4 linked regions of the Oreochromis niloticus genome follow. The protein of the gene in region 1 interacts with the protein of each later gene in a pairwise test. Links are inferred from orthologs where the notes say so. Each region holds a gene or a part of one and is shown on either strand. Other genes may lie near its edges. The genes, in order: cep76, kiaa1143, lg12h22orf39 and cryba4.

Region 1 (7,080 bases):
TTTACACTCAGCTCCCTCTTCACCACGACGGACCGGTGCAGCGTCCGCATCACTGCAGCCGCAGCACCAATCCGTCTGTTGATCTCCGGCTCCCTTCTCCCATCACTCGCGAACAAGACCCCGAGATACTTAAACTCCTCCACTTGGGGCAGGAACTCATCCCCGACCCGGAGTGGGCACTCCACCCATTCCTCCAGAATGGCACATCAATAATCCCTACCAGGATTTCTGTGTCTCCCAGCATAGTCTCAAGAGCATGGAAGACATTCCAGGACACAGGAATGTCTAAGACAGCTAGACATCCTTAGATCCTTAACCCATCAGCATGACGGTATCTGCTCCTTTATGCAAGGAGGAACAGGATGAGCACTCCAGAGCTACAAAATTATCTTTAGCAGGTCACTGGTGTGAATGTCTCTTAACAAAAAAATCAGAAACAGACTTCATTAGAGTGGCCTGAGGGCCTGATGTCCTCTAATGGCTCTGTGTTTTTCACAGATGAGAGCAGGTTCACCCTGAGTACATGTGACAGATGCGAAGGGGTTTGGAGAATGATACTGCCTGTAACATCATTTGGCATGACTGGTTTGGTGGTCAGTGAGTGATGGTCAGGGGAGCCATATCTTCACAGCCCTCTACAGGCTAGGCAACAGAACCCTGACTGCCATTAGATATCAGGAATAAATCACTGGACCCAGTGTCAGACCCTACACTGATACAGTGGGTCATGGATTCCGTCTGGTGCAACACAATGCCCGGCCTCATGGGGTGAGAGTATGCAGGCTGGAGGACGAAGGAATTTATACCACTTACTGACCCCTCCGCTCACCTAAATCCAACAGAGCACCTCACCCCAGAGCACTGCCACATCATTTTTTCACTTTTATTGTGGGAGTGTCTTTGAATTCAGCACTTTGTAGGTTGATCATTTTCATTTCCAACCAACACATTAACCGGTCTATATAGCTAGATATCCAGCATGATTTTTTGACTTCTGCTTTTGTTCTTCAAAATTAAAATCAAAAGAACCCTTCATTAGAAACTCTTTGTGCAGAGAGAGTCTGTTGCTCACCAACTCCCATCAGCTCTACAGCAAAGCAGGTCTTGCAGCTGGGCGAGCTTAGGACAGTCCTCCAGTCCAGGAAGTAGGATGAGACAAGCATTGTTTCACTTGAGGTGTCTGTTTTTATCAGCACAAAGTGCACTGGGTCACACACTGACAGCATGGAGGTCGCATCTGCCATCTTACCACTTTCCCCTGGAATACAAAAATTGTAAAATTATACTCTGTACATGGATGGTTTATTAAGCAATACAATGAGAACAGTATTTGTGATTGACACAAACAGTTGTGGTTAACACACACCTATACCGTCTCTGTGGATCTCTAACAGGAAGCCCTCCTTGAGGTCAGGTTCACAGGCACAGGGCACTGGCTTTGATCGAAACCTCTGGTTGCGGAAGTGCAGGTAGAGTGTGAAGGTAGAACACACCTGACCAGGTAAGGGCTCCGGCTCCTGGAGATGCTCCAAAAAGGCTTTCCCTCCAAGCACCTGGAGATACAGGCATCGCCTTGATGGGTCAATATTGGCTGAGAAGAGAAAAGTAGAAGAGGAATAACGTTAGGCAAAACAATCTGTGCATCATATTATTATTTGCTTGGTATGCAAATAATGTTTCTTACTTTTTTTCAGATGAGTGATATCTTTATCAACAAAATGAGTAGCAGGTTTTGTAGGTGATCCCGTTTCTGCTTCTGTGCCGGCTTCCTACCACGCCAAAATGACAAGACAGAACAGTCAGAAAAGATGGGACAGAACTGACACACTGTATTACAGATATTTTTAATCCATACTGAAGGCAAACTGTGAAAGTAAAACGTAGCTATCAAGGGGATTGATACATTGTAGATGTTTGATTGATGGATGGAATGAAAAATACTTCTATATTAAAAACCAATTAGCAATGCAGGTCTGAAATTGCATCAAAAAAGCTGGGAAACCTGTGTAAAGTGAAGATCTTTCATCATATCATCTATGATGCCTCTACGCTGCAGAGCACGCAGGAAATCTGCTTCAGACAGAGACCGACGTGCTGGGCCTTGATCATCCCTCACAGTCTCAGCCAGGACCTCTCGGATCTTCCCATGGATATCCATCTGACAAACAGAAAAACAAAATTCCTTCACCTACTTAAAAATTGTGTTTGTGCTTTCTAAACATCCTCTAAAAACAGTCCTTTCCCATTTAAACTCTGATTTTGGGAAGTGTGTGTGTATGTTTTATATCAGTAGACCTATAAGTACCGTCTATTCGGTGCATTATTGATGCGAAATCTTTTCTCATTCATTACTTTTTACAAATCAATTTTTCATTCAAATCAGCAACAAATGTAGGATCGAAATTGGTCTTGTTTGCTGTGTGAATTTGTACTTTATCTGCTTATAGACGCTTGGCTGGAAAACAGCACGGGTTCCCAACGGTGCTTTAAATAATGCTGTATAAAGAGATGGTGCAGCCAATCTTACCAACTAGGTGGTAATATGTGATTTCTCTGTGATGTGCAAATGCAAGGAAATAGGAATTTGTGACATTAAAAAAAATCTATTTGCCCACTATAAACAGCTAGCTTCCCCCCTTCATGAAAAATACCCGTGTAACCATGCTGCTTAAGGACTTCAGCATTCAACTGTACATTGTTTACAACACGAATAGCCATAAAATCTATGTAGTTTTCTCACCTTGAGCAGATGGTTGTGAATGATTTGCTTCAGCTCGGAAGCTTTTTCTGGAGGCAGCGACATTATTGCTATTATTTGTGCTTTTTAGGCTAAGCTAGCTAGCCAGGCTTATACATGGGTACTGGTAGAAACAATAAATAACGCCGTTGAGTTATAATGAAACTTTGTGTGCATTCGCCATTTTTCGCAGAAATGTTCTTTTCTGACAGCAACAACTGCCAGTTCAAACAGTGGCGGAAAAGCGAGCGGGAAGGTTTCTCCGCTGATGCCCGACACCATACTCCGGAAAAAAAATCAATACCTCGACAATTTTGCTCTAAAGTTACAGGATTTATAAGAATCACCATATAAACCACGATATACGTATTTTTGGTGGTGCATTTATTGTAGTTTTATTTCATTTTTGCTCACCAAATATTCCCCATTTTATTCAGGGATATTTTTACGTACCCCAATCGCGTCACGAATTGCGACGACATGTGAAAGACCCTTGAATTGTAGTTTAAATTATAGCCACTGTTTTTATGTTTATTTTTTATATGTGGAGGCGTTTTCATACTAAGGCAAGACATAAATGGATCAAATTACGCATATCCTGCCTATCGACAAAGGAATAAAAATTTAAACGTAACTTTCTAAGCTTTAATGACTCGTACGTATTATAAGTACTTATAATTATGCCAGTAGGGGGCAAGATTTGTGTCAAATATCAGTCAAGTGTTTTAAGAAAAAGACACTTATGGTGAATATGGTTGCATTATAACTGACCTATTGTTTAAATTCTGTTAATGAGTAGAGAGTGTCGTCATTCGGGGAGGGGCGGGGTTCAATGGATGAAGAATGGTGAGGAAAACAGATGTTACAAAGAGGTGGTGGGTCGGTAAAGTCTTAAGTTGTATGTGAGACCAAATACTAATGGATGAGAAAGGGACAGATTGGCTAGGCAGAGAGATCGAGCTGGAAAGCACGTGTAGCAGGTTAGAGTGATTCAGGACAGATATAGCTATGAAGTGAAGAAATGGAGTTGAGAAGACTGAAGGAGTACTTTGAGGAGCTGATGAATGAAGAAAATAAGAGAGAGAGGAGGATGGATGGAGGACAGTTAGTGAATCAGGAAGAGCCAAGGATTAGTAAGGAGGAAGGGAGGGCAGCTACAATGGGATCCAGAGTGGAAAGGCAGCTGGTCCAGACACCATACCTGTAGAGGTATGGAGATGTCTAGGAGAGAGGACAGTGGACTTTTTAACCAGATTGTTTAACACAACCGTGGAAAGTGAGAGATGCCTGAGGTATGGGGAAGAACAAAGGTAATGTGCAGAGCTGTAGTAACTACAGAGGGATAAAGCTGATGGGTCAGCCCATAAAGATATGTGAAAGAGTTGAAGCTAAATTAATATAGGTTATGATCATTGAGCATCAGTATGGCCTCATGCAGAGAAAGAACACTACAGATGTGATGTTATATTTAAGAGTAATCATTGAGAAGTATAGAGGTCAGAAGGTGCTTCACTGTGCCATTGTGGATCTAGAGAAAGCGCCAAGAGAGGAACTGTGGTACTTTATGAGGAAGTCAAGAGGCCCAGAGAAGTGTGCGAGTGTAGTGCAGGACATGTATGAGGCCAATGAGACAGTGGTGATGCATGCAGTAGGAGTTATAAACAATCAAGGATCTGCTCTGTGCCCTTTCTTGTTTTCAGAAGCAATGGGCGTATACTGACAGTTGAGGTCAGGCAGGACTATGATGTTTGCAGATGACACTGATCTGTAGTGTGATTGGGGAGTAGGTGGATGAGAGCCCATAGAGGTGGTGGTATGGACTGTAGAGGATTAAAGTCAGTAGAAGTAATACAAAATACAAGTGTGAATGAGAGGGAGACAGGTGATAAGACGACCGTACAATAATTAGAGAGAGTGAAGATAGAGTTTAAATACCTGGGGTCAACCATCCAAAAGCAGACAGTGCAGGGGAGAGGTGAGGAACAGAGTAGAGGCAGGGTAGAAGATAAATGTCAGGGGTGATTTGTGAAAGGACAGCAGAAACACTGAAAGGGAAGGTTTACATATCGTCTCTTTTGAGATGGTGGCACTGACAAAAAGGAAACTGAGCTAGAAGTGACCAAGCTAGAGCGGAAGATCTCCGAGGAGGTTCATGGGTGTAGGGAAGGAGGACATGCAGAGGATTGGTGTGACAGAGCAGGATGATGCTAGGGACAGTGTGAGATGGAGGGCAGATGATTCGCTGTGGCGACCTCTAAAAGGACCGGCTGAAAGAATTAGGAGGAGCTGTACGACATAACGACAAAGCAGAGATCGAGCCAGCATCAAACAGACAAGCTGAAATAAGTACAAAGGCACAAAATACATTCAACACAAAATACACACACAGTCCCAGACAAGAGAAAATGAAATTACTACAGCAGTCAATGTGAGCATGGCCTCTTCTTGAAATATTGAATCAATTCCTGGAATCCACAGTGAGAGGTCTCCAGTCTGTCTGCATTGATTTAGCTCATGGTCAGAATGAAATTATGAGTAACAGCACAGAAAGTGGGTGAGATGGGAAGAGCTGTGGGTAAAGCTGCTTTACGGATACAGAATTAAAGAACAGGCAAGCAAAGTTTGGTTTATAAAAAAAAAAAAAAAGAAAAAAAGAAAATTTTATTTTTTATGAAGTATTTAATGTTTTTGTTTGGTTTTGTCATTTTTCTCATCAAAACTCTTCTGTCATGTTCCACACTGCAGCTCAGTGTACAAAACTCCCCTGAAAACTGTACACAGAAAACAATAAATGAATGGAATGTTACACTTCTCTGGGGTTAAATAAGAAAATAACAATATTAATAATAATAAAATAAAAGCCATGTTCTACTGTAGCCAATCAAAAATTTCACTTCAGGAGTCAATACATGCTAATGACACATTCAATGTTCAATCAACTCAAACACATGTTACTGTACACCACCTCTAATCTGGTCATTGCAGTGCAAACATGTTACTCACATTATGTGCGACATGACAATTTTCTGTACTGATCACACACCAAAAAAAAAAAAAAATTCTGGGAGCGCACTTTTTTTTCCTCCTTTCCCTATTTAACACATTTCAAGGCACATTAAACGCTTTATCAACCAGCCCACAAGGACATCGCTCTCTTCTAAATTTAATCCAAGGTGCTCTCCTTCAGCTTCTAAATTGCACTATTGTAGCTTTGGATTGGTCCCAGTCAATTGAAAACCGAATCGGCGATCATGTGGGTTCAAAACACGGACAGGATGTAGAACGGTACTAGCATCATTTTGTAATACAGGTGTCAGTTATGACAGAGAGATTCAACAGAATATACATTCGACATGAGGGGAGTATACGAGGGTTCATCATTAGGAGCTTGTCTGACTGTTACCTTCCTAAAAACAGGCTTTGGTTTCTTAAAATAAACAAAAAAAAAAAAAAAAAAAAAAAAAAAAAAAAAAAAAAAGCGTGATCACCTGAACATACACAGACCAACCCATCCAGTGGGTAAATAACTTCCTAGGGGGCAACGTTTATGATCCATGTGGCAGCTAACAAATGCAGGCAAAAGAAAGAAAAAAAAAAAAAAGTGTGCACATAACAGAAAATGAACATTCTAGCAGAGTGTGAAACATTGGCAAGGAAGCTCCCTATGAAGTGTCCAGTCACACAAAAATATTCTTCTGGCCGTGTTGGGATGCCCTGCTAAATGTGAATGGAAGAACAAGTGGTGGTCTGGAAAACCACAGAACGCATGCATTTCATTATATTACATTAAAACTAAAGAAAAGTAAAACCCTACAGCTGACCTCTTGGCTCTGGAGTTTTCCTACAAGTCTACAGTAGGATGAACAAGTCAACACAAGTCATTCTGAAATGTAAAATGTAAAACGTGTTGATCGACACATATCTGACTATTACAAATAAAGAATGTAAAAATAAACCTGTCACTATATATTTTTCTTTGTACTGCACCTTTAGTAAGTTTCTGCAAAGCCATTTTTGCTATGATACAGTACATTCATGAGCAGTGACAAGAAGGAAAGGAAATTAAATCATCGTGCTGGCACCGAGATCCTGAGATGTTACTATTTTTTTGTTTCGATCTTACATGAAAAATATACAGACGCTCGTTTGATCTAGCGCTCCCACATTTTGACCTTGAGAAATAAATACCCTCAATTCTGCACATATTACTGTCTAAATCTATGTCGAGAAGAAGTACCTAATCCCAGGTACCGGTGCAAAATAGGAGTCAGTTTTAAATGACCCGCAGTGCTTCACTGGGAATACATCCAGTACAGCAGGCCTACAGCCAAGACAGCCCCGGC
Region 2 (7,966 bases), about 460 kb from region 1:
CGCGCGCGCGCACACACACACACACACACACACACACAATCATTTAGTTCTTTCTCCATTTAATCATTTTGTTTTTAAAACACTGTCCTTGCAGGACATACAAGCAAACCATGCCTAACAGTAAAGGCAGTGAGTGCTACTTTGTATGGGCGTGTGAAAGGAATGATTTGATTGATGCACATATAACCAATGAAAAAGTGAACAAATGCACTGATGTAACCCTTGTAAAAAATAACTAAAGGCATAAGAACTGAGCCAATGTGATACCGTACAGAGGTTTGAAAAGAAGAGTGTCTGCGTGTCCTTGATGGAGGAAGGGTTCCGATGATTTAGAGGACAGCCTCTTTGTGGGTTTCACCCTCAGTCTGTGCAGCTGGAAACTCTGACCCGCTTTGCTTCCAGATGAAGCATACCATCCTCACTTCCACACACAGATGTGAGCCCCTTCACCAGCCTGCCTAATGTCTCAGAAAGTTCCTCAAGTGTGTCTTGGCTCTCACTGGTATATATTCGGTCCATGAGTTGTTTGGTGAGGTTGACACATTTCTTCCTCAGATATGACTTGCTCACTCGCTTGCGTGGTGGACTGTCACAGTCAGAGGTCACCTGTGTGTCTGCAAAGAAAGTTACACTTAGACAAATTTGCACTCCCTAAAATTTGAGATTACAGGTTAATGATTGTGCGGGTAAGACAGTAACTTTTATGAAGTTCTTCTCTCATGTTGCAGATAAACCTTACCCTTGCAGGTTACTGACTCACTGACTACCTCCATGCCCCACTCGTCCACTGAGTCTGGGGTCATGGAGCAACACGTGGCATCCAGGTTAAGAAGCAGGTGTTCCCTGTATTTCAGGGATAACTGCTGCCACGTCCAGCCAGGGACCGTCTGGAAGACTGCACAGAAATGTTTGCATGGCAACTTGTACCGCCTCCAGTCATCACACTGGCAGGAGGGCAAGCTGTCGTCTGACCCAAATGCCAGTTCATAAGACTGGTCCTCCTGTGTCTCGCTCTTCACTCTGAAAACACCATCGCCCAGCTTGACCACGTCCCTCAGAGAGAGAGCTGTCCATGCAGCTCGTGATGTGTTGAATGACGTCTGTGGGTCTGTCCCACAGGAAAGGAGGGACACTGGAGTCATACTGTCTGTATGACCTCACATTAGCTTCAATGTACCTGAAAGAGAAACATTATTTTTGCTGACATGACGTGCACACTGAAGACAAGCTTGTGCAAATGGAAAACTTACGTCCTCCACAGTTCAGGGATGTACATGTGTGTCACGATGTCCAGCATTTCAGATAATGTCCGGTTCCTGTAGTCCTCCAGGTATTTGTGCTTGAACAATTTATTCTGGCGTTCGGTCTCATGGTTTGTGATGATGGCTATATTCAGTGTCTCTTCTTTGAAGGCAGACACCCATCTCTTAAACAAAGCAAGATATAGTGAGAGTTTGTTGTGGTGATAGAATTTCAGCTGTTTGAAGCCAGGCTGCTTTATCACCTGGCACAGGCCACATATAGGTTAATCTTAACTTAAAGATCACAAATAACCCTTTCAAACTATATATGACCATTTAACCTTTTGAACATGTATATAATATATATATTTTACTATCTATATTTTAATATCTACCAACATCTAGTGGTGAGATTTTACTCACTGCAACTTTAAATAAGCCAAACTTTACTTTAAAAGGATATAATCTGGAAGGTAGTGGCTTGTGCTGTATTCTTCAGCATTAATGTGACTGTCACACATAAGCAAGTCACCCATGTTGCTGTGTTCAGGCCACCCAGCCCCCCAACAGAGGCAGGCTTTTAAACTTGACGATGATTTATTTTAATGATATAATGTATCATAGTTGATGAAATCCCCAATTTTTCTTCTAATTTTATGTTAGTGTTTCACAAAATAGTAAACCTCTTTTCTTTGCAACTTCTTTTGTCCCATTTTCTTTCAAATGTCTCTGTGCAGGAGCTGCTTTTTTGTCAGATGCTTACCTTTGCTTTGGACAACCACATGTCTGAAAACCAGCTCTGAAACACAGGATTTTGTTCCCAGGTGTGGCTGGCCATCAGGGCCTTCACTGCCTCCTCGAACTGCTGTGTAGTGAGCGAGGTGGCTATCGCTTTCAGCTTTGCAAGAGCATCTTCTTTGTCAGCCACTCGATGCTCCTTCTGTATCCATTCATCCCATGCCTTCTCCCTGTGAAAGTCACTGAACAGCGCTTTGGTGCCTGCACAGAGATAGAAAGAGACTGAATAGAGAGCACACTGATATATAATCATAACACCAAGATGTATAAAAAGAGTAAAAATCCACAGTGATCACTTTGTTTTCATTTTAGCTCACCGTACCTTCAAACACAGACTCAACAGCTCGGATTTCGGCAGCGTTGCAATCGACCATGAAGCTTGCTGGCCTCCAGTCTGCGTTCCAACATTTGAAGACTTCCAGACCCTCTTTGATGGCTTCTGTTGTTTCTTCTTGCAGTACCATCACTCCCACAACGGAGTAGCACATGTTGGTGCGGACGCACAAGAAGCAAAGGGGCAGAGGGTAGCGGATTGTTCTGTAGGCGGCATCGAACACGCAGACATCTGCCCCATACATGCGCAGCAGCCTCATCTGCCACAACGTTTGATGGCAGAAGAGGAAGGAGGCATCCTCTGTACGGAGGCAGTCTTTTTTTCTTTTTTTATACGGACTAGTCACATGCTGGTGTTTTACCCAAACAGGAATGATAAAGGCGCCACTCACCTCCAGGTTCACCTGATCGATTCTGTGCCGAGCCTGGTCCTTCACCTTAGCCATTATATTTCGGAGGTCCTTCTCTGAGGGGTAGTACCGGCGCCTGGACGCAGGGGGTGGGCTAGCTCCCTTAAAAAGCTCGGCTGTTACAAACTGAGCAAGATGACGCTTCAGCTCGCTGACCTTCCTCACGCCCTGCTTTCTGAGCTCCACCACCTGCTGCTCCACTCTTGCGTCCACGGGCTCCTTTAAATATAGCACACTTGTAGTTTCACATGGAAACACAGGTTTTCGTCCTTTGTGAGCAGACTGTTGTGCGTTACCATTTCTCCCATTGCGTGCCCAGCATGCGCACTTGGCTGTGTGACAACATAGCATGTTCCCCATACAACTGGATCTCTCTCCAAGGCCTCTCTTAGCATCTTGGAGGCTGCCTTCTTACTCCTCTCCCTGTCTTCTTCCAACTATGATGCATGCAGATAGAAATCAGAGTGGTGATCATGGAGAGAAACACGTGCCGAAACAAAATGATTTAGTCTGAGTCCTAAACTCATACTGCAAGGCTTTCTCCTTTAAATTCAGCTGTCTTCGCTTAAAGATCATATCCCTGTAGGAGAGCCAACATTTCCACTTACCTTGAATTTAGGGAATGTTGCGATCTTGCTGATTGATATGGCTGCTGGGCATCCCACCTTTTTAGTAGACTGCGAGTTTGATTTGTTCCTAACTAAAGTGTGGTCCATCATCTGTGGATTATGGGAAAGAAATCAGTTAAATAATTAATTCAATAATTCATGTCAAGGTTAGCTAACTTGAGCAGAACATCTAAGCATACTCAAGTTAACAGGAGAAACAGGTGGAGGAGTAGTGCGCCTTTCTTAGTAGCTGTGGTTCACTGCTGTCCATTAGAGGTGAGCAGATTGATCCTAATATTGATAATATCCATGCCAATGCCGGTATTGGTACAAACACAATAGGATTTAAAGCCTATAGCACCTTTAAACGACAGTAGTTGATCAAAAGTGCTTTAGAGACAGCCACATCCAAGGTCTCCAGAAAGCCCCAATTTCAAAATACATGAAAAACTAAAAGGTGTGTTTTGTTGTAGAAAAGTAAAAATCACACTGACTTATAGGCCATTAAATTGTGTTCAGAAATTGGACATTAATGATGATTCGTCTGATAAATCATGACGCACTGCTCTCCACTACATAAGCTGCCTTTTATAGGTTAAAAGTGTTGTCACTATTGGTCCTGTATTTACTTAGTATTGGACTGATACACAAATTTCAGTATCCCACAGCACTACTCCCAACTCATCTACTCTGCGCGCCTTTTTCTACAAAGCTACAGCGTCATCAGTTGCCTGGCAACGAAACAACCAATCACAGCAGGATTGTCCCTAGGCTCCTCGCATCACCAGCCAGCCTGTGTGGGTGTGTGTGTGTGTGTGTGTGTGTGTTGAACGTGCAGTGAAATCACCGTCTTTTTTGCCTTTTCCTCGGCATATCTCTGCTTCTGAGCTACGGCGAGGTCTTTGCCCTGATGGCAGACGAGCCTTTTAGAGCCCACAAACATAAATGGGACTCCGGTGAATTCAGTGGCTGGCATCCCAGAGCCCCCAGCCCATTGCCAGTAGACCCGGTTTCCGGGCAAAGGATGCCAATCTGTGTGACAAATACAAGCACATGACCTGATGATAAGACCCTGGCGTTAACCGACACACTCACTACTGAACCATAGCAGGGAGCAGTGTTTACGGCTCTTGTGTTCAGCCAGCAGTCACTCTTCATTTCGTTACCTTTGTCATTAAAATGGCGGTCCACGGAAAAGGTGATAAACTTAGTCTGAGACTCTTCCTCCAGTTCTTTAATAAAAGAGTCCAGATCGGCAGAGTTCTCAAAGTGTCTCATGCTAATGCTTAACTTTTCATGTTCACACAGCTAACGGCGCTGCGAGCAGTCACAGCGGAGAGTTTGCTTCTTCGAGTTAAACGGGGCGAGTTGCTGCTTTATGTGGAGGACATTCATCGGTTTAGTTTTTCTGCGATGTTTCGCTTTGAATCATTTCTGTGAGTGAGCGACAGATTATCGTCCCTTGTGCAGATCCAATGTAACACCAAGCAGCGCTGTGGCATCAACGTTCCCAAATCCACCAATGACAGTAGCTCCTGAAGTCACGTGACGCGTCGCGGTTTAGTGACGGTTTCAATGTTTTGATGAGTCCGTGCTAGCCGGAAGTTGCTCAGGTCTGGAGTCTGCATTCGTTGGCTGTTTGTCTTGTTTTGCTTCTTTGCCATGAATAAAAATAAGGGCCGCGGAGTAGCATGGGTGAAGCCGGCGGAGCCGTCCTTTCTCAAGAAGTTTAAGAGCGATGTGGGGTACAAAGAGGGACCGAATGTCGACACTAAGGTAACTACGCGGTTTGGTTAGCCGTGCCAGTTAGCTGCCCCTGGCCTACCAAACCATTAGCTCTTTGAGTTGTGTGACAGTTACACTTTGTGACGTGTGTTTCTGAGCGTAGGCGCATTGTGTTCATATAAGGAAGAATAAATGCTCTGAATCATAATTCAACGGAGGGTCCCATTCACTGAATTGAGCAGTGAGGCCGCACGAGCTACAGCTGTTTCTCAGACCATCAGAGCAGTTTCAAACTGCGCTGCAGCGTTCAGCTGTGACTGCGCAGGCGTACTACAACTGAATTTATGTATTCTACATTCTACAACAGAAAGCCATGGCTTTTCATGAATGGAAGTTGTATAAAGTTGCATTTCAAAAAAACCCAAAAAGAAAACCCCGCCAGAACTTGAATCATGACTCTGAACTACAGGTTCCTGATTTTAGTTTGAGTGTAGGGCTGCTGATGAAATGATCATCAATGAAATAAGAAACCTCGGCACCATCATTCACAGTGAATGTAGGATTTAAAATACAAAAAAAATCTCAAACAGGCTGACGGTCTGTTTGCTATCTCAGCGTCAGGTGATGCCAACACTGGATGACGAGAGCGGCAGCGATCGAGAGGACGAGTTGCCTCAGGTCGTGGTCCTTAAAAGTGGAGACCTGACTGCAGAGGAGGTGAAGAAGGTGAAGGATGAAATACGGGCTGGAGGCAGCTCAGAGAAAGGTGAGAGTCCAGTTCAATGATTTAATTACACCAGGAGTAAGAAAATATTTACATATGTATTAGTGGTGCAACGGATCAAAAATTTCACGGTTCGGATTGGATCACGGTTTTAAGTCACGGATCGGATCAATTTTCGGATCAGCAAAAAAAGAAAAAAAAATTAACATTGACTTATTTACTTATTGAAGTATTTTTTGCCTGTTAAAAACATTCAACTCAAGACTCATTCCACGCAATTATATAAAAACAAATTATGGTACAATATAGGGCTTTGTATCTACCACTCAATTCAATTTTATTTACAAAGCGTCAAATCACAACAACAGTCGTCTCAAGGCGCTTTATATTGTAAGGTAGACCCTACAATAATACATACTGCTCATTATATCGCACTCCGCTGTGATATAATGAGCGGTCACGGTCACGTAGCTTTCCGTGTCCTTGGAGGTCCACCCATTTGTAGTTAGGGCAACAGAAGATGCCTGGGACAGTTCAGCCATAACTTTAAACTTTTCCTGCTCATACATGCTTGGAACGATCTTGCCACTAAAGTGGACGCGCAACGGGATATCATAGCGGGGCTCAAGCGCGTTCATCATAGTTTAAACCCCTTGTTTTGCACAACGGAATATGGCCTCCCGTCTGCAGCTAAACACCCCAATAGCTTTTGTAATAGCTTGAACCCGGTCGGATTGGGCAGCAAAGGGCTGCTTAAATGCCGCAAACTCCTCTGCTCCTCCACTTGGACTGCTAGCGCTGGCCATAACTATCGCTTGACAGACTGACCACGCGCACCATACACATACTTTTTTGTATGTGTATGGTTCTCCGAACCGATCCCCGTGGAGTGGGATCGGTTCGGATTACGGATCAACCATGATCCGTTGCACTACTAATATGTATGCACTGTATACAGCATGTTAACATAAAACCCTGTGTTTGCTACCCTGCTCATACATACCGCCGTCTGCTCCGCAGATGGTCAGCCCCCTGATGGTAAAATCCTTTTCAAGAAACCAGCCAAGCGCTCTTCCTCAGATAAATTCCAGGGCATCGGTGCTAGCTCCAGCAAAAAGAAGAAGAGCAGTGGAGGGGACAAGGAAAAGGAGGAGGAGGAGAAAAAGGAGGCATCTGGAAAGAAAGTTAAAAATAACAGCCTCCTGTCATTTGGAGGGGATGAGGAGGAGGAGGACTGAATGGAAGTGGTGAGAGTAGGCTGTCAGGAAACAGGAACATTGTACTGAGTATAAGACATGGTTCAGCCTGTCCATTCTTTTTAAAGGACAGTGCTACTGTTTTTGCATGTCGTACATGACACATAGATTCATACATTTTTAGTAAAGCATAAAAATCAGCTGGCACAAACTGAATTTATTCCGAGTTGTCTCCGTCTGACTACAGGGATGATTCTGATCCATTTAACAGTCTGAACAGAAACAGTGAAGCCGAGGGGAAAAAATGAACACGCATCAAAGAAGATGAGGTTATACTTCTGTTAGTGTAACTTTATCCTGCATCCATGTCAGGGTCAGAAACTACACAAGGACATTTATACAGTACTGTGTTACTGATAAGAGGGGAGTTGGTTCAGCTGCTGTGTGAAAGCCCACTCTGACATATTAGCAGGACGTTTCCCTTGGTTACAGCTACCAGACTGTGTTGACTTGTGTCACTTTGTAGAACTTGGGGTTTGCTCTTTTCCAGCCCCGTGACTTTGTTGTTTTAACATTTTAGTTTGCATGTTCTCGTGTGTGTGTTCTGTGAGGACAAATATGAACTTTTAAGGTGGTTTAGTTCTCAGTGGACTAAAGTCATGGCTGTGGGACAAGAATTCATATTTTCACACCTCAAAGTTTATAAATGTCTCAAACACAAGCAGAGAGAACCGGGCTGATGTAAACCAGCTCCTGCTTGATTCTGGAGTTGACTGAAGACGCACATCACCATACGGCTTTACCTCAGTGTAGCTCTTTCACACACACCACAGGCAGGTAGTTGAAGCAGCGTCTTTGTGAAATGCACGGATTCTGAAACCAGCTCATCTACACGGTTTCAGGTGTAAATTTCTCCTGCATTTGCAGTCAT
Region 3 (6,964 bases), on another chromosome or scaffold:
TTCCTCCTGAAGCACTTGTGAAAACTCAAATGTCTGATGAAGTCAAATTGGACATAGAGTTTGATGAGCGATGGTGTAATGTTTGGCAGGTTTACATGTAGCTAATTTTCTGCATTCACCACTGTATTGTGGGTGTAATATGTGCCAACATCCACATGGTGTAACCAGCTCCCTTGTCCAAACATACATCCGGTACCGCAAACATATCTGAAGTTAACTATTTAACTATTTACTGCTTTGTGGTACTTGTTAGAAAAGACAACTGTAAAAACAATATCCTCAAAATGTCCAAGTTTATGTTGGTATGTATGAGGTGAAAGTTGCATATCGTATTTCAACATATTTTATGAAAACACATATTTTCCTTAAAGTAACTGTTATTTTTCTTTTCTTTTCAGTAATAATGCCACCTTCAGCTCTCGACCAGCTCAGTAAGCGCACGTTTATTCAAAAACTTCTTACTAAATGTCCTGTTTACATCCTGTTTTTAGCATTGCTCTATTTTCCTCTGTTCAGGCAGGCTTAACATTACCTATCCAATGCTGTTCAAGCTGACCAACAAGAACTCAGACAGAATGACACACTGTGGTGTCCTGGAGTTTGTGGCAGACGAGGGAATCTGTTACCTACCTCACTGGGTGAGAAACAGTAATGAGTTTAATGTCACCATCACACAGGCTGAACTGTCTCCTGTCAGCAGTGGAGGAGCACTTACTTATTCTTCTTGTGTGGAAGTGGATAACAATGTTGTAGAAGTATGAGTTTAAAAATCCAAATTTGTTGGTATTTGCAACATGTTGAACTAAATATTCTTTGCTGATTAAAATCTTTGGCGATGCTGTGGTTCACACTATCTTCTCACAGCACAATGATTCAGGGTTGAAATATACCAGCTGGCTGCAGGCCTTCTGTGCGGAGTTTGGATGTTCTTCCTTTATCTGCATAGGTTCTCCCCGAGTACTCCCACCTTGCACTCTTTCCCCCATGACTTGATAGATGGATGGAAATAGAAAAAAATGAAGGCTCGAGTGACATTTGCTGTATTTTGTTCGCTGCAGATGATGCAGAATCTCCTGTTAGAGGAAGGCGGTCTCGTTCAGGTGGAAAGTGTCAACCTCATGGTGGCCACTTACTCAAAGTTCCAGCCTCAGAGCCCCGACTTCCTGGACATTACAAACCCCAAAGCAGTGTAAGGAGTACAGGCTGAAATGTTTATTTGAACTTTAAATTTTTATTTTTTTTGACACTTTATGTTTTAACATAAGTGGTTAACATTCATTACAGACTGGAGAACGCACTGAGAAACTTTGCATGCTTGACAACTGGTGACGTCATAGCCATTAACTACAACGAAAAGGTGAATCAGTTTCTTTAAATCATTGTTGTAATTATATGTGACCAAGGGTTGTTCTTGGAGAGTTTCCTGGAAGATTAAACAGGAGACTTCTGCAGTTTTAAAGTTTGAAAACACATAAAAAATGCCTATAATGAATGTGGTCATGGATGGCTTTGATCAAGTGCTTCTATACTCTGTTACAGCCTACGTGTGACGTGTGATTTTGTGTGTGGTTTGTTTTCGAGGCTAAGGTAATCTGTGTGTTTCAGATATATGAGCTGCGAGTAATGGAGACCAAACCAGATAAAGCAGTATCCATCATCGAGTGTGATATGAATGTAAGATCCCGGACTTCACTACAGTCACAGTGAATTTTTCTGTTGCTTTGCTTGCTCATGTGCTGTTACTTTGTTGTTCAGGTGGATTTTGATGCTCCTTTGGGTTACAAAGAGCCTGAACGACGGCCTAATCACCAGGATGAACCAACAGTAAGGAGCAAACCATCATGGTAACTGTACATTTTCTGCTTTGAACAATGTAATAAAACTGTATTTCTGACAGGAGGAAGAAACAGATCCCAGCAGTTATGCTGACATGGACACAGGCTTCAGAGTGAGTTCAAGTTAATGTGTACTACTACTATAAGTACTTAAAGAACATAATTTAATCTCTAATCTGTGCTTTATTTTCAGGCTTTCACCGGTTCTGGTAATCGTTTGGATGGTAAAACTAAAGGAATTGAACCCAGCCCTGCTCCCATCGCCCCAAGTGACATTAAAAGGTGAAAAGAGTGTCTTACACATTCCCATAAAATTAGCTCAACTGTTAAGACAAGCTATTTTTACAGGGAATGTTACACCTTTATTTAACAGCATATTGTGAAAGGGATTAGGAGAGGAATGACAGTCAGCTCAAACTGCTGCTGTTCAGTATATTAAAGGCCCCAAGCAGGAACCATTATATCTATTAGGCTATGTTAGAGATCTCAGACAGGGCTACCTGTGTTGCAGGTTTGGTCAGGCGTAAGTTGGTGAGCTGAGTTGAGACATAGAATGTGACATCTTGAGGCACATGAGTTTGTCAGGAGATATATTTAAATTGTCTGAGTTCTGAGCATTTTTATGTATATTTTTTTTATGCTTCATAAAAACAGAGAGGAATACCGGATTTATGCTGTAAGGCAACTAGGTACCCTGGTCTTAACCCTGAATGCTAAAGCCTGAACCATACCATAATTGTCAGAAAATTCTTTGTTTACCTTTAAAAAAAAACAAAACAAAAACAAAAACTGGAGTGGTTATTGAACTTTCTGAATGGTCCACATGGCGTTGCACAGCTTTGGTGAGTGTTTGTCTCTACTAAGATGTACTGAACAGCAAAGAAGTATAAAATATACCAATGTAACTATACACTGGTATTGTCCTACATATGTTTTTAAGCTGTGCTCTGGTGACAGCACACAGCTACACCACGCAGACAATGGTTTCCCAAGCTGTTGTGTGTCTAATGTTTCGTCACACAGAGGGATTCCCAACTATGACTTCAAAATTGGCAGGATCACCTTCATTCGAAACTCCAGGCCTCAGCCCAAGAAAATTGTGGATGATGTAAGTAATGCAAACAGTTTTCTTTCCTGGCAATTTTTAAAGTCTTATATTTAGTGTTCATGCCATATTTTTCCATTTTCTTCTAAATCTTCTCAGGATGATGCCATGAACAGATTCATCGCCTTCTCTGGACAAGGGCAGTCACTACGCAAGAAGGGCCGAAAGCCTTGAAGAGATACAAACGGGGAGTCTGACTTATGTGCACAGACCTATCTTATTCTTTTCACCTTCAGCAGGTGTATTAAAGTATTGGTTTTCAGATGCGTTGGGTTTTGCCCCTGTCCCTTTTGAAATGGAGGTTTTGCAGTTGATTATAGCATGTAATTAAAAGTCTGACAGTAATATTTTGCTCAAAAGAATCTGAGCAGCCTAAAATGTCAGCTCTAATTTGGTATTCACAAATTCAGAGTGACTGATTTTCAGGAAATGTCTCTTCAAGAACATGAAAAAATGACAGCAACTATTGTTCTTATATCAGATTGAATGATCTCCGACTCTGCGCAGACCCATCTTTTCCATAATTCTTTTTTTATTTTTACAATCCACTTTAAATATGCTGTTATCCACAATCCCAGTGTTACTATAAAATGGGAGCTTTTGGTTTTGATTATACTGAGAATAATTTTATGTTTGAAGGTTTTTTTTTTCCTGACTTTTAGGAATCTTTTCTTTTGCTTTATTTATATAGAAATAAAATGGTGTTTTGAAATGAATTGCACTCAGACCTATTTTTTGAGGTATTATGCTCTTTCTGTGACATCACTTGAGTCGAGTATTTATATATGAAGAAGATGATTAGTGGATAAACTATTGGAATTGGTGAGTTTACATAAATGGGTAAAATAATGAATGATTGAGCTCTCAATCAGCAATAGTAACTACAAATTCAGATTTGAGAAAACCGACATTTTAATTGTTTCAGAAAAAATATTGTTCCAAATAATTTATACTTTTCGTTCCATTAAAAGCAGAATATCTTTAAATAAACTGTAAATTCACAATGACGACCTTCAGCAATGCACACATTTTTGGTTTTGATGCTTCGTGGCCTCGTGTATTTTCAAAATAAGTGCTACAGAAATGCGGCAAGGGCTTTTGTTGTGAAAACTAAAACCGGAAGGAGTACAGTTGCTAAAGCTGTCGCAGCTAGCGATGGACAGGGCTGTGGGAGAAATCGCATGGAGGGTAATTAAACCAGATATTACGTTATTAATTTCGTTACTGATAACTTTTCCTTAGTTAATTTGATTTGCATTGTTTATGAGAAGACTGAAAATAATCAAAGTCAAATCCTGATGATGTAGGTCGCAAGGTGATTAGCTTTAGATGCTAAACCGCAAATTTACTCTTCTGTAGCATCTAGCAGTGTCAGACAAAGAAGATCCGAGGAGGCGAAGTATATTTTTTGATTCACGAAATGCACTAATATCTGGGCTTGCTGGTCAAATTTAAAAATAGCATGTGTGTAGTTGGAAAGTCAAATCAGCCACTGAGCAAACTGAGGGTCAGCCCATTCTTAATACGACCGCAGAGGGGCGCTGTTTCAATGTTGAACACTTTAGAGACTCAGGTTAAACACTCACCGGCCATTACGTCATGCTTGTACTGGGTTAGACTCTCTTCAGAACTGCGTTAATTCTTCGTGGCACAGATTCAAGAAGGTGTTGAAAACATTCATCAGAGATTTCCAGTTTGGCACGACAGCATCACACACTTGCTGCTGACAGAAATGTGAGATGAACATCAATAAACTTCTCACCATACCAGCCAAATGTCGCTGCAGAAATTCGAACTCGTCAGAGCAGGCAGCGTTTTTCCAGTGTTCCTTTGCCCAGTGTAGTTGAACCTGTGCAAACTGTAGCCTCAGTTTCCTGTTCTTGGGGAGCGGCACTCGGTGTGGTCTTCTGTTACTTCAAGGTTTGACATGCCGTGAATTTAGAGATGGTCTTCTGCATATCTTGGTGGTACTTTTGATAGTCCCTGTTGATTTCCTCTCAGTCCGAATCAGTCTGGCTATTCTCCTTTGACGTTGACAAGGTATTTTTGCTTAGAGAACTGCCCCTCACTGTATATTTCCTCTTTTTCAGTTGCTGCCATGTGATTGGTTGATTATTTTATTAGTAACAAGTAGTTAGACAGGTGTACCCAACAAAGGCTACGTTCACACTGCAGGTCTTAATGCTCAATTCCGATTTTTTGATCAAATCCGATTTTTTTGTCTGCTCGTTCACACTACAAATAAAATGCGACAGCAAACGCGCTCTAGTGTGAACGCTCAAAGCGGCCCGCATGCGCAAAAGATGTCACATCGTGGTGAGTTTTCAGTATGAAATGAGGTTGTATTTTTAGCCTAGGTGAAGGACAAAGGTTGATCCTCAGTTGCTCTTGCATTACTTTCATCCTTTGGAGGGGAGACAATGAAGACCTCGACTGATGTCAGTCACCAGAATCCCAACAGAAGTTTAAAGTTTTATTCTCATGTTTGTTTGCTTTGTCGCCACAGCCACCGCGGGCATGTGAAGACTACTGGAGTGAGTTTAGACACTGCAAAAGTTTAAAAAACTGCTTTCACCACTACTACACTTACGGTACCGTGCCGTCCTGCCAGCAGTGGAAAGAGGACTACCATAACTGCAGAGAGTGGGAGAAACATAGAGGCACCGAGGCTAAGGTGGAACAGCAAGAAATTAAAGTCCTAAATGGGTGACTTTGTGATCCCCTCCAGGCTGTATAAATACACTCACTGTATCTGTCTTGCAGGAGGCGTTGCGGAGAAGTGAGAAAATCCGAGTGGCAGAGCAAAGAAACTTCATTCCAGTGTGGCAGCTCAGGCAGGAGCCTCCTAGAGACTGGCACGTGCCACTGAACCAGGAGAAGCCTCAGGACTCCTGAACATCGAGTTTTGACAACATGCTGTGTTTCAGTTAAAGAGCCTGGACATTCTTGTGATCACGAGCTGTCATGAGTTGTATTCAGAGAACTGCTGTATGTAAAATGATATGTACAGTATGTCTAACAGCAGCTAGTGGTCAGCGATGAGGATTCAGCCTCTGTTTTATCAGTGAATATGATCTCTTTCCAGGCAGGCTGGTGTGTCATAGGTACTAATTCTGCAAAGCTTGTGTAAACTTAAGCACAAAGACCGACTGCACTCGGAGACTCTGTGAAAATTAGCTCTATATTATCCTTATTTTGACAGGATATATAATCAATCCATGTAATCAGTGATCTGCTTCATTCTCTTTGAAAAAGGTGAAGAGCCAGGTCTTTGCATGGTACTGGTAGGCCTATATGTATTTGTCAGCTGCTAAGCATATGAATTGACTTTAAGAAAGGTTAATTATGTAGCTCTTGATGCTGGAGTCAGGTCTATGGGATGTTTAATCTTACTGAAAAATTGACATGACAGAATCCAGAGTTGTGTAGCAGTTTTCTGCCTTATAACATGACATGTTCAAAAAGATTCTGGAAACTGGATCAATAAAAAGATGTAAATTTTTATTCGATTTCTTTCATTATTATAGACAGAAATATTAATGTGACACAAACTCACTGTAACTCTCACACAATGAATGACAATGAAGGAATAAAGACGCAGAAGCTGCATTTTTGCTTAGTGAATAACATTCAGACACACTAAACTACACAGCCATTCCTCATCTATCACTGTGTGTAAACTTTAGTGATATCGTTGTATTTCCCATCAGGAGCGTCATAATTGGGTATTGCTGGCGTATATGTGGGACCTTCGTGAACAAAGGGAATAAGAAGCGGGTCAGGCTTCAGCGCTGCCCGATACAGCTCCTCAGACTCCAGCTTCAGCTCCTCCAGTGCCTCCCTCTGTGCTTCCAAAGCCAGTTCAACAGCCTCCACTTCAGCCATGTGCTGCTTCTGCAAGAACATCAGACAGACACAACCCACTAAGTGCATGCAATGGAGAGCCAGGGTCAGATGTAACATTTTCCATAAAAGCTTTAGTGACGCAGGTGCGATAGGTAAGTGGTAACCTGTTTGTATCGAC
Region 4 (7,613 bases), on another chromosome or scaffold:
GGCACGCACACAAACACAAATACAACATACTCTTTAGCTCAGACTTTCTACTTTAAATCACTGCCATTTCTTGATTTTGGAGAATCACCACAACAGACACAGACAGAAAACAAAAAAAGGCAGTGATCTATTTGTTCATGTTGATCTTCTATGTGTTCTCCATACAAAGAATCAAACAGCATTTCAAATGAAGTGTTTTTGTTTTTTGGACATTTTGCTGTGTGAACATTAATAAACTATAAGCTAATTGAGTTACTGGAGATTCTCTTTCTCCCACTGAGATCCAGGTTCACCAGAGCTGTTCCACTAAATGCTTTGGCACTACACTAACACTTACTACTGATATCTACTTCTAGTTCTGACTAGTGTTAGCCAACTGCTTAACAGATGATAAACACATTCATATCGCAAAAGCATCTTTCCAATCAACATCAGGTTTGGCATCTGACATTTTCCAAAATCAGCATCATGTTTGTTTAGCCAGATATTAAATCTTTAATTCTTGTACCAGAAACCAAAGACAATTTGTGCTACTCAACACAGGACAGTGTATTCTTGTTGTTGTTCACAGGACACAATAATCATATATCACAGTAACAATCATCATCATCATCATCATCATCATATACAATATGTAATGTATTCTTACAGCTTCAGTCTGTTATTGCTCCACTATGTGGAGGTAAGGAAAGAGGCAGAACTTGAGTTTTTGTTCTGTGCATGGTGTTTCTGTAGCTTCTCGTGTGTAACACTCTGAATGTCCAGACATCTTCCTTTCTTTGTCACAGTTTCTCTCTGCACTGTCCATGTTTAGATGTTTTTGTGGAGAACCTGCTGTTAAATTTGGGATTTGACAACAATTTTACACTTTTATTATGAATCCAGTGCCCGTGTAAAGCAGGTGTTTGTCAAAGAGAGCATAGGCAGCATTTTTTCAGTTATTCTGTGGTATCGTGTTAAATTAACAGTATAAATGTAAATCAATGCAATAGCATGAGCCAAGTAGGGTAGAAGCTTGGGTTTTACTAGCCTCACCCCAACCTTACGCTTTACATTTTATCCAGGCTGTCATTATAGCCGGTACATTAAGATAAAGAGGGCGTACGCAGCATGTTCACTTCCTTTAACTTTGCTAGGATAATATTTAGTAGTTCTTGACTGGTGGGTAATCTGGACAAAAAAGCACTGCCACACAACTGTGCATGAGAATTCCTCCTGGTCATCTTCAGAGGTTGAATAAAGGTCATTGTTGGTGGTAATAATTATGGGATTATGGCGAATGGATTATGTGTGGATTATATCACTTCAGCTGAGATCATTTCCACGATGGAAGGAGGATTAAATTGCGTTTGATATGTGAACTAATCCTGCAGTGTAATCTGGGTGACTTCCATGCTGTGATTTGTTGTAATTTCTGCTGCCCTCTTGGTCAGGTCTTTCCTGAGAAAGGGATTTTTAATCTTAGTCAGACTTTTTCCTGATATTTCAGAATGCCACACAGACACGGTTTCATTTGTAAGAAAGAAAAGTCACCAACATTTTTAGCAAAGTAACTCATAAAGACAACAGGGGACTGACATTAGTGAGTATTCAGACAGCAGGATTGAGTATGTGGAGTTTAGTTGAAATAAATGTGTTTGGGGTAATAAATGAACATGTCACCAAACGGACATTGTCTTGACTGTGGTCTCTTTTTTCATACAGAAGAAAAGAGTGGTGCAGTGCTTACTGTAAAGAATATACACTATTGCTGTGATTCAGTCCCATTATGGAGACTTTACATCTTTTCATCTAGCCTCACATATCTGATCCTACTTGGTAGGGCTGACTTTAAACATTTTAGCATCAAGTGGGAAAATAATATTAAAGACTGCACCAAAAGCAAGTGCATCTCCATAGATCCACAATGCAGAAGTTTCAAATGCAGAAGTAAGGAGCATTAAAAAGCCTGTTCACGGTCTGGTACAAAAAGCAGAAACTTTCACTACTTCAGGCTTGCTGTGTCTTATGGCACACCCATGAAGCTTTGGTGAGTGAAATTCTGCTATTTTATTAGTCTCTTACTACTAACAGGTATCTGTACCTGTGTGTTACACCTGTACCTTTTGCCAGTGAAGCTGACAACATAGCATAGCACACTTTAATGCAAATATTGTAACCAAAGAGATTCGTTCCTTTAATAGTTAGAACAAACCATTGTGTGAGCGTTCCTCACTAATGATAGCTAATGCTAGTGCTGCTGACATCATTAGAAGGAAATAAAAGAGAGCAAGAGCTTATATCTGTGACTTCATTTTACGATGATAATAATTTTGATGATGATACTTGCCAAGTCTGAAGAAGATTGGATGAGTGGTTGTCACTGCTTTACACTTTTAGGCAGAAAACACACATGGACTTTTAAATGCATTGACCATTGTCACTAAAACACATCTGTTTAGACAGGCATTTGGGTAATGTTCGTGTGTAATATGTTGTGTTATGCTATATTTATACTGTACTATTGCTTTGTTTGATATGCTTTTATACTTCCTTAATATTGCTATATTGTTTGTTTGACATGCCTTCATTCCCATGTGAAGCACTTTGTAACAGCTTCTTGTCTTAAAAAGTGCTATATAAATAAATTTTACTTACTTACTTACTTACTTACTTACTTTTATCTTCTGACACTGCCACAAAATGTCCTGCCAAATGAAAGGAACCTATTGATTTTGACCAGCCCTTGGCTCTTTCATTCTTGTTGGTCAATTTTCTGATGACTGCCAGGGGTCTCAGGAGCCCTCCCCGGCTTTCTCAAGAAGAAAATATTTAGTCTGTTTTTCAGAGGGGTTCATCATTATCATGGCTGATTGCACAAGTCCACTGGTAAGTAAACATTGTCCTTCTAATGTAAGATGAATCAGATCAGTTTTTTCTCTTGTTGTGTAAAAAAAAAAAAAAAAAAAATCTGATGAGGAAACCTGTTTGATATTTTTGAAATTTGACTCTTTTCAGGCAGGAAACATTTTGGTCTCTGTTCAAAAAGTTGATTCTGTTCATCTGGACATAGTGTTTTCAGTGGGAGAAATGTTTTGTCACTCTTGTAAGTGACTTCTTCATTCTCAGCTGACTGCAGGTTTCCCCAACCTTAATGATCATGTAACTGACCTCACAGCCCATTGTTAGTCCGTGGTGCTAGTTTCAGTTATTATACAAAGATACTGTTTATAAGGATGGGAGAAAAAAAGTCACTTGGATGAGAGATGAAACATTTCCCCCACTGATACATCCAGATAAACAGGATCAACTTTTTGGGATTTGCTGGATATGGATGATTGAACTTTCATTGAGACTTTTGGTCTCTCTGAACTACAATTTCTGTTTTGATTTCAGAGAAATTAACTTTTATTAAGCCAGGCTTGTATATGAAGATCTGAGGCAGTGAATTATGTCTAAAAGTTGCAGATAAGCTGAAATTCCTTTAGGCTCACTGGAAATAAGGACAAATTTGTGCTGTCCATACAAGTGCCTCTGCTCTCCTGTTTACAAGTGGTTGATTATGTAAGCACACACACACACACACACACACACACACACACACACACACACACAAGACACTCACTAGCCCACAAGTCCTATCTAGTGCATTACACTACAGCATGCAGGTTAAATCTGTTTTTACTATTGAGGGCTTTTTTTTATTTTTTCATTAAACTGTTAAACATTTGATAAAATGTAGGCTTTGTTACTGTAATTATGAGTATAACAAAAAAATAAAACACACAAAGAAAGAGTGCTGCTATGATCTGTGTGATCAACCACGTATTCTTACTAGAACACTTCAAATGATCAGATTTCAGATGTGGAGACGTGTTTCATGTTAGAAAGCATTCTGGTGTAAGTATTAGTGTTTGCCATAATTGGATGAATGACTTCATCTGTACTGGTTAGATTTCTCACTGCACACATTGGAGGCTTTCATAAGAATACTATCTGCACTGAAAATCTGCTTTGACACATGCATGAGGTTGCTTTTTTTCTGTTTTGTTTTTTTTAAAAATTTATTTCATGTAGCCAGCCTGCTACCTGCCCGAGCACCTGAAAGTGACATCAAAGCGACTGAGAACAGATTCCAAATAGTGATCTTGCAAATAAAAATCCTTTGTTATAACCGTTTTAAAAACTTGAGGTCTTTTTCCTTAAGACTTAGCTTTAGGTTAAATAAGCTATATATCAGACAGAGCCATCTAGTACTCTTCCTATTTTCTGACACTAAATTGCAAAAAACAATCATAGCCATTGTAATTAGCCGTCGCAATTAGTGCTTTAACTCTGGTACCAACCTTTTTTAGTAGATATAACGAATTATTGTCTTTATGTCCATAAAATCGTCAAAGGATCTTGCGATTCTCTTAACTTTCTTTCTGTTGTACTATTTTCAAACATGTTGTGGAAAAAAACACATCCTCTGAGTCACCATCAACGCTTCACCGCTGTTACCAACATGAACAGGCATGCACACAGAGCTCATTCTGTCTGTGTGTGTTGGTCTCACATCATCAACAAATTCTAATGGTATGACAGGCCATTATTATATTTGCAAATTTCACACATTTAATGGCAAAAATGAAGCACCATTTAACTAAGAAAATGACTGGTCTTTACTTGCAGACATAAATTGAAATAAAGAGTTAAAGAGCTTCCAGCTGCGTTTTTCTCTTCCCTCTCTGATGCCGTTGGCTCTCAGTATTTTCTCAGCTTGCACTCTATGTTTCATTTCTTATATTCCTGGTCTCTGTGTCCACTGCCCCCAGTGATAATGTGGTGTCTGCACTTCTGGCCCTCCATAGATTAACGATGCTTTTGTCAGGGAGGGACAAAGAAAAGCCCCTCCCTGCTGCTGAGCCGGGGCTTTCAGCATGGACCCCTGCCAGGGGAGGCTTTAAAAGGGTGGGGGCGTGTGGCTCCTCTCACTCTCACGGCAGGACAACCCAAGGGCATCAAGCAAGGTGAGTTCCTGTCCCTCGCCCAGCCGCCACAGCCATCCAGCACGGCCAGCCAGGGTACCACAGCCAGGGTATAGCATCCCCCATATTCACACATCCATATCTACTCCCACTCCAAACACACACCATCCAGGCTCCACGGCTGAAATCACTGCACCCAGTGGCTGAGATGAACAGTGACGATGATGGAACAATCTTAGAAATGGGCAGAAAAACTAGAAAGAGAGAGAAAGAAGTTAGAGTAGCCAAATGAAGCCTGTGGCCTCTGTGACCCTCTTCTGTTTGGTATCCAAACTATAAATAGACATTGGTGCTTTCCATCTAGCAATTACAAATTCAGGCTGCTTCCAGTATCCTGCCCATTATGTGTAAAGTACACACTGTACCTGCGACACAGACTTGTTTTTTCATAGGTCTGACAATAGAACCGATCTCCTGTTCTTCACTTTTTGGATTTCTGGTTCACACATCTGTCTTTACTGGTTAGCTTCTGGCTAGTTTCTGCATCAGAATAAAATGACTGCTAACCTCTCAGAGTGTGTGGCTTCCCTGTTGTCACTGCTGTCTATTCATTGTTAGCACTCGTGGATAAAATTCTTTCTTCCTTCCAGACAAGATGACTCACCATTGCACCAAGTTCTCCGGCCACTGGAAGGTGAGTCTGCAGATGGAAGAGCAGCTTTATTCATCAGCACCTTTGAATTTTCCCTCAGATGGGACCACGAGCTGCTTGTTGTAAAACGCCTCATACAGTTGAGCATCAGGGAGAGTACCCAATGAAGTCACACCACATTAGGACGCTATAAAAACTTCATTAGGATTGTAATATCACACAGTTGTGCATTAGGCCTTGTTAAAAGTGGTTTATCTCCCAGTTCAGAGCGATTAGCTTAGCTAACATAGTTTTATATGTTTGAGGCGAGCTGCTGAAGTGATTTCAGACATCACACATCAAGTTTAAGTGGATGGTGTGTGATAATACAGCCATCAGCTGCATGTCCTTTTTCCCATTAGATCATTGTCTTCGATGAGGAATGCTTCCAGGGACGCCGCCATGAGTTCACCTCTGAGTGCTGCAACGTGATGGAGTTTGGCTTTGAGACCGTTCGCTCCCTCAAGGTGGAGAGTGGAGCGTGAGTAAACAGATATGTGCGCATAGAAAGAGCAGTCTTACATGCAGCAGAAAACCAACATTAAGTGACATACAGTTAACATGACAGGATGTTATTAACCTCCGTATAAGCGGATTTAAGAACTTTTGGGATGATGTAATAATCTTTTTTTTTCTATGCTTCCTTCCAGCTGGGTGGGTTATGAGCATGCCTCCTATCAGGGACAGCAGTTCGTCCTGGAGCGGGGAGAGTACCCCCAGTGTGATGCTTTTGGAGGTAGCAATGCCTATCACATTGAGAGACTGACCTCCTTCAGACCCATTGCCTGTGCTGTAAGTTATCTCTCAGCTTGTTTTCACTGAAAAACCTGCATTATGTGCAAATGCTGCTGTGACAAATCATTAATGTAGACTTGCATGACCTGAAAAACTACTCAAATGTATTCTTTTTTTACCTCCCCCACCTCCAGAACCACAGAGAGTGTCGTATGACTATCTATGAGCGTGAGAACTTCCTGGGCCGTAAGGGTGAGCTCAGCGACGATTACCCCTCCCTCCAGGCCATGGGTTGGTGCAACAATGAAGTTGGCTCTCTAAGGATCCATTCTGGAGCGTGAGTGTCCCCAGCTGCTTATTTGCCTCCTTTTTCCCCCTCCTCATTCTCTCAGCAGTTCAAAAAATAACCCTACTCAGATTTTCACAATATGCTTTGCAACATTTCACAACATTTGCATTTCCACGTCTGTCATTTCTCAACAGATTTGTGTGCTACCAGTATCCTGGTTATCGTGGATACCAATATATCATGGAGTGCGATCGTCACTGTGGGGAGTACAAACACTTCAGGGAGTTTGGCTCTCACTGCCAGACCCCTCAGATCCAGTCCATCCGCCGTATTCAGCAGTAATAACTTACACCAAACCCTTTCTAGCATGTGACCCTTCACCTTTGACCCCTGCTGCTTGCCCGTGCTAAATAAACTGTTTTTCTTAAACCTTACTGACTTCCACCAGTGTATGTGCTTATCATATGGACATACTAAATCACTTATACATCGCACACTTGTGTTTTCCTCTGAATTGCGATCACTTCTGTATAATTCACATGACGGTGTACAGCGGTTACCTGCTAATAAGGGTGAATGTGAGGAAAAAAATGCCATTTAGAACCAAGTATTTAGCTTATTATGTAACTGCTCAATGTCAACCAGATTAATAAATGTGAACCAAACTGTAACAAATATTTGCAAGTCCTTTCACATATCTTTTTCTGAGATATGTGCTAATCAAACATTGCTGTCTTATTAAAGAAGAAGAAGCTGCTTTCCTTTGTGACAGTGGGCAGCCCCATGTGTTTGATTTGGAAGAAACCCCCTTTCCTGGCACAACTCCAGGGGGGATTTGTGTCCACTACACTATGGAGGGACAAATGCTGCTGTATTATTATCTTTGATAATTCAATAATCAGTTTTGATAAGTCAGTAATCACTAATGGTAATTATTCCAATGTTTAAA

Evidence for each region.
Region 2: the proteins of cep76 (region 1) and kiaa1143 interact in binary tests that used the Homo sapiens proteins (3 or more experiments, as listed by UniProt). The two-hybrid records come from large-scale screens. The link is inferred for Oreochromis niloticus from reciprocal best matches to the Homo sapiens genes CEP76 and KIAA1143.
Region 3: the proteins of cep76 (region 1) and lg12h22orf39 interact in binary tests that used the Homo sapiens proteins (3 or more experiments, as listed by UniProt). The two-hybrid records come from large-scale screens. The link is inferred for Oreochromis niloticus from reciprocal best matches to the Homo sapiens genes CEP76 and C22orf39.
Region 4: the proteins of cep76 (region 1) and cryba4 interact in binary tests that used the Homo sapiens proteins (3 or more experiments, as listed by UniProt). The two-hybrid records come from large-scale screens. The link is inferred for Oreochromis niloticus from reciprocal best matches to the Homo sapiens genes CEP76 and CRYBA4.

What each region holds. Positions count from the first base shown.
Region 1 is NC_031976.2:5,547,320-5,554,399, reverse strand, and holds the start of cep76 (centrosomal protein of 76 kDa), read right to left. Parts: upstream 3,007-7,080; 5' UTR 2,804-3,006; coding exon 2,741-2,803; intron 2,159-2,740; coding exon 2,003-2,158; intron 1,770-2,002; coding exon 1,685-1,769; intron 1,592-1,684; coding exon 1,367-1,591; intron 1,259-1,366; coding exon 1,073-1,258; intron 1-1,072. Other genes in the region: ptpn2a (tyrosine-protein phosphatase non-receptor type 2a), read right to left, coding at 7,030-7,080. UniProt on the Homo sapiens protein: Centrosomal protein involved in regulation of centriole duplication. Required to limit centriole duplication to once per cell cycle by preventing centriole reduplication.
Region 2 is NC_031976.2:5,087,461-5,095,426, reverse strand, and holds the start of kiaa1143 (uncharacterized protein KIAA1143 homolog), read left to right. Parts: upstream 1-4,954; 5' UTR 4,955-5,052; coding exon 5,053-5,166; intron 5,167-5,730; coding exon 5,731-5,881; intron 5,882-6,842; exon of another isoform or gene 6,843-6,859; coding exon 6,860-7,077; 3' UTR 7,078-7,966. Other genes in the region: uncharacterized protein si:dkey-31c13.1, read right to left, coding at 985-1,177, 1,251-1,426, 2,005-2,240, 2,362-3,001, 3,079-3,219, 3,391-3,501, 4,238-4,422, 4,557-4,668.
Region 3 is NC_031977.2:25,885,685-25,892,648, forward strand, and holds lg12h22orf39 (synaptic plasticity regulator PANTS), read left to right. Parts: upstream 1-4,184; 5' UTR 4,185-4,679; coding exon 4,680-4,748; intron 4,749-5,446; coding exon 5,447-5,614; intron 5,615-5,703; coding exon 5,704-5,835; 3' UTR 5,836-6,444; downstream 6,445-6,964. Other genes in the region: ufd1l (ubiquitin recognition factor in ER-associated degradation protein 1), read left to right, coding at 399-431, 517-638, 1,059-1,189, 1,285-1,357, 1,606-1,674, 1,756-1,824, 1,898-1,948, 2,029-2,117 and 2 more; mrpl40 (large ribosomal subunit protein mL40), read right to left, coding at 6,607-6,834, 6,951-6,964. UniProt on the Homo sapiens protein: Negatively regulates long-term potentiation and modulates adult synaptic plasticity. Stabilizes the interaction of RTN4 isoform A/Nogo-A with its receptors, inhibiting clustering of postsynaptic AMPA receptors at synaptic sites.
Region 4 is NC_031972.2:9,182,345-9,189,957, forward strand, and holds cryba4 (beta-crystallin A4), read left to right. Parts: upstream 1-4,642; 5' UTR 4,643-4,991; intron 4,992-5,599; 5' UTR 5,600-5,604; coding exon 5,605-5,643; intron 5,644-6,002; coding exon 6,003-6,121; intron 6,122-6,290; coding exon 6,291-6,432; intron 6,433-6,569; coding exon 6,570-6,712; intron 6,713-6,858; coding exon 6,859-7,006; 3' UTR 7,007-7,098; downstream 7,099-7,613. UniProt on the Homo sapiens protein: Crystallins are the dominant structural components of the vertebrate eye lens.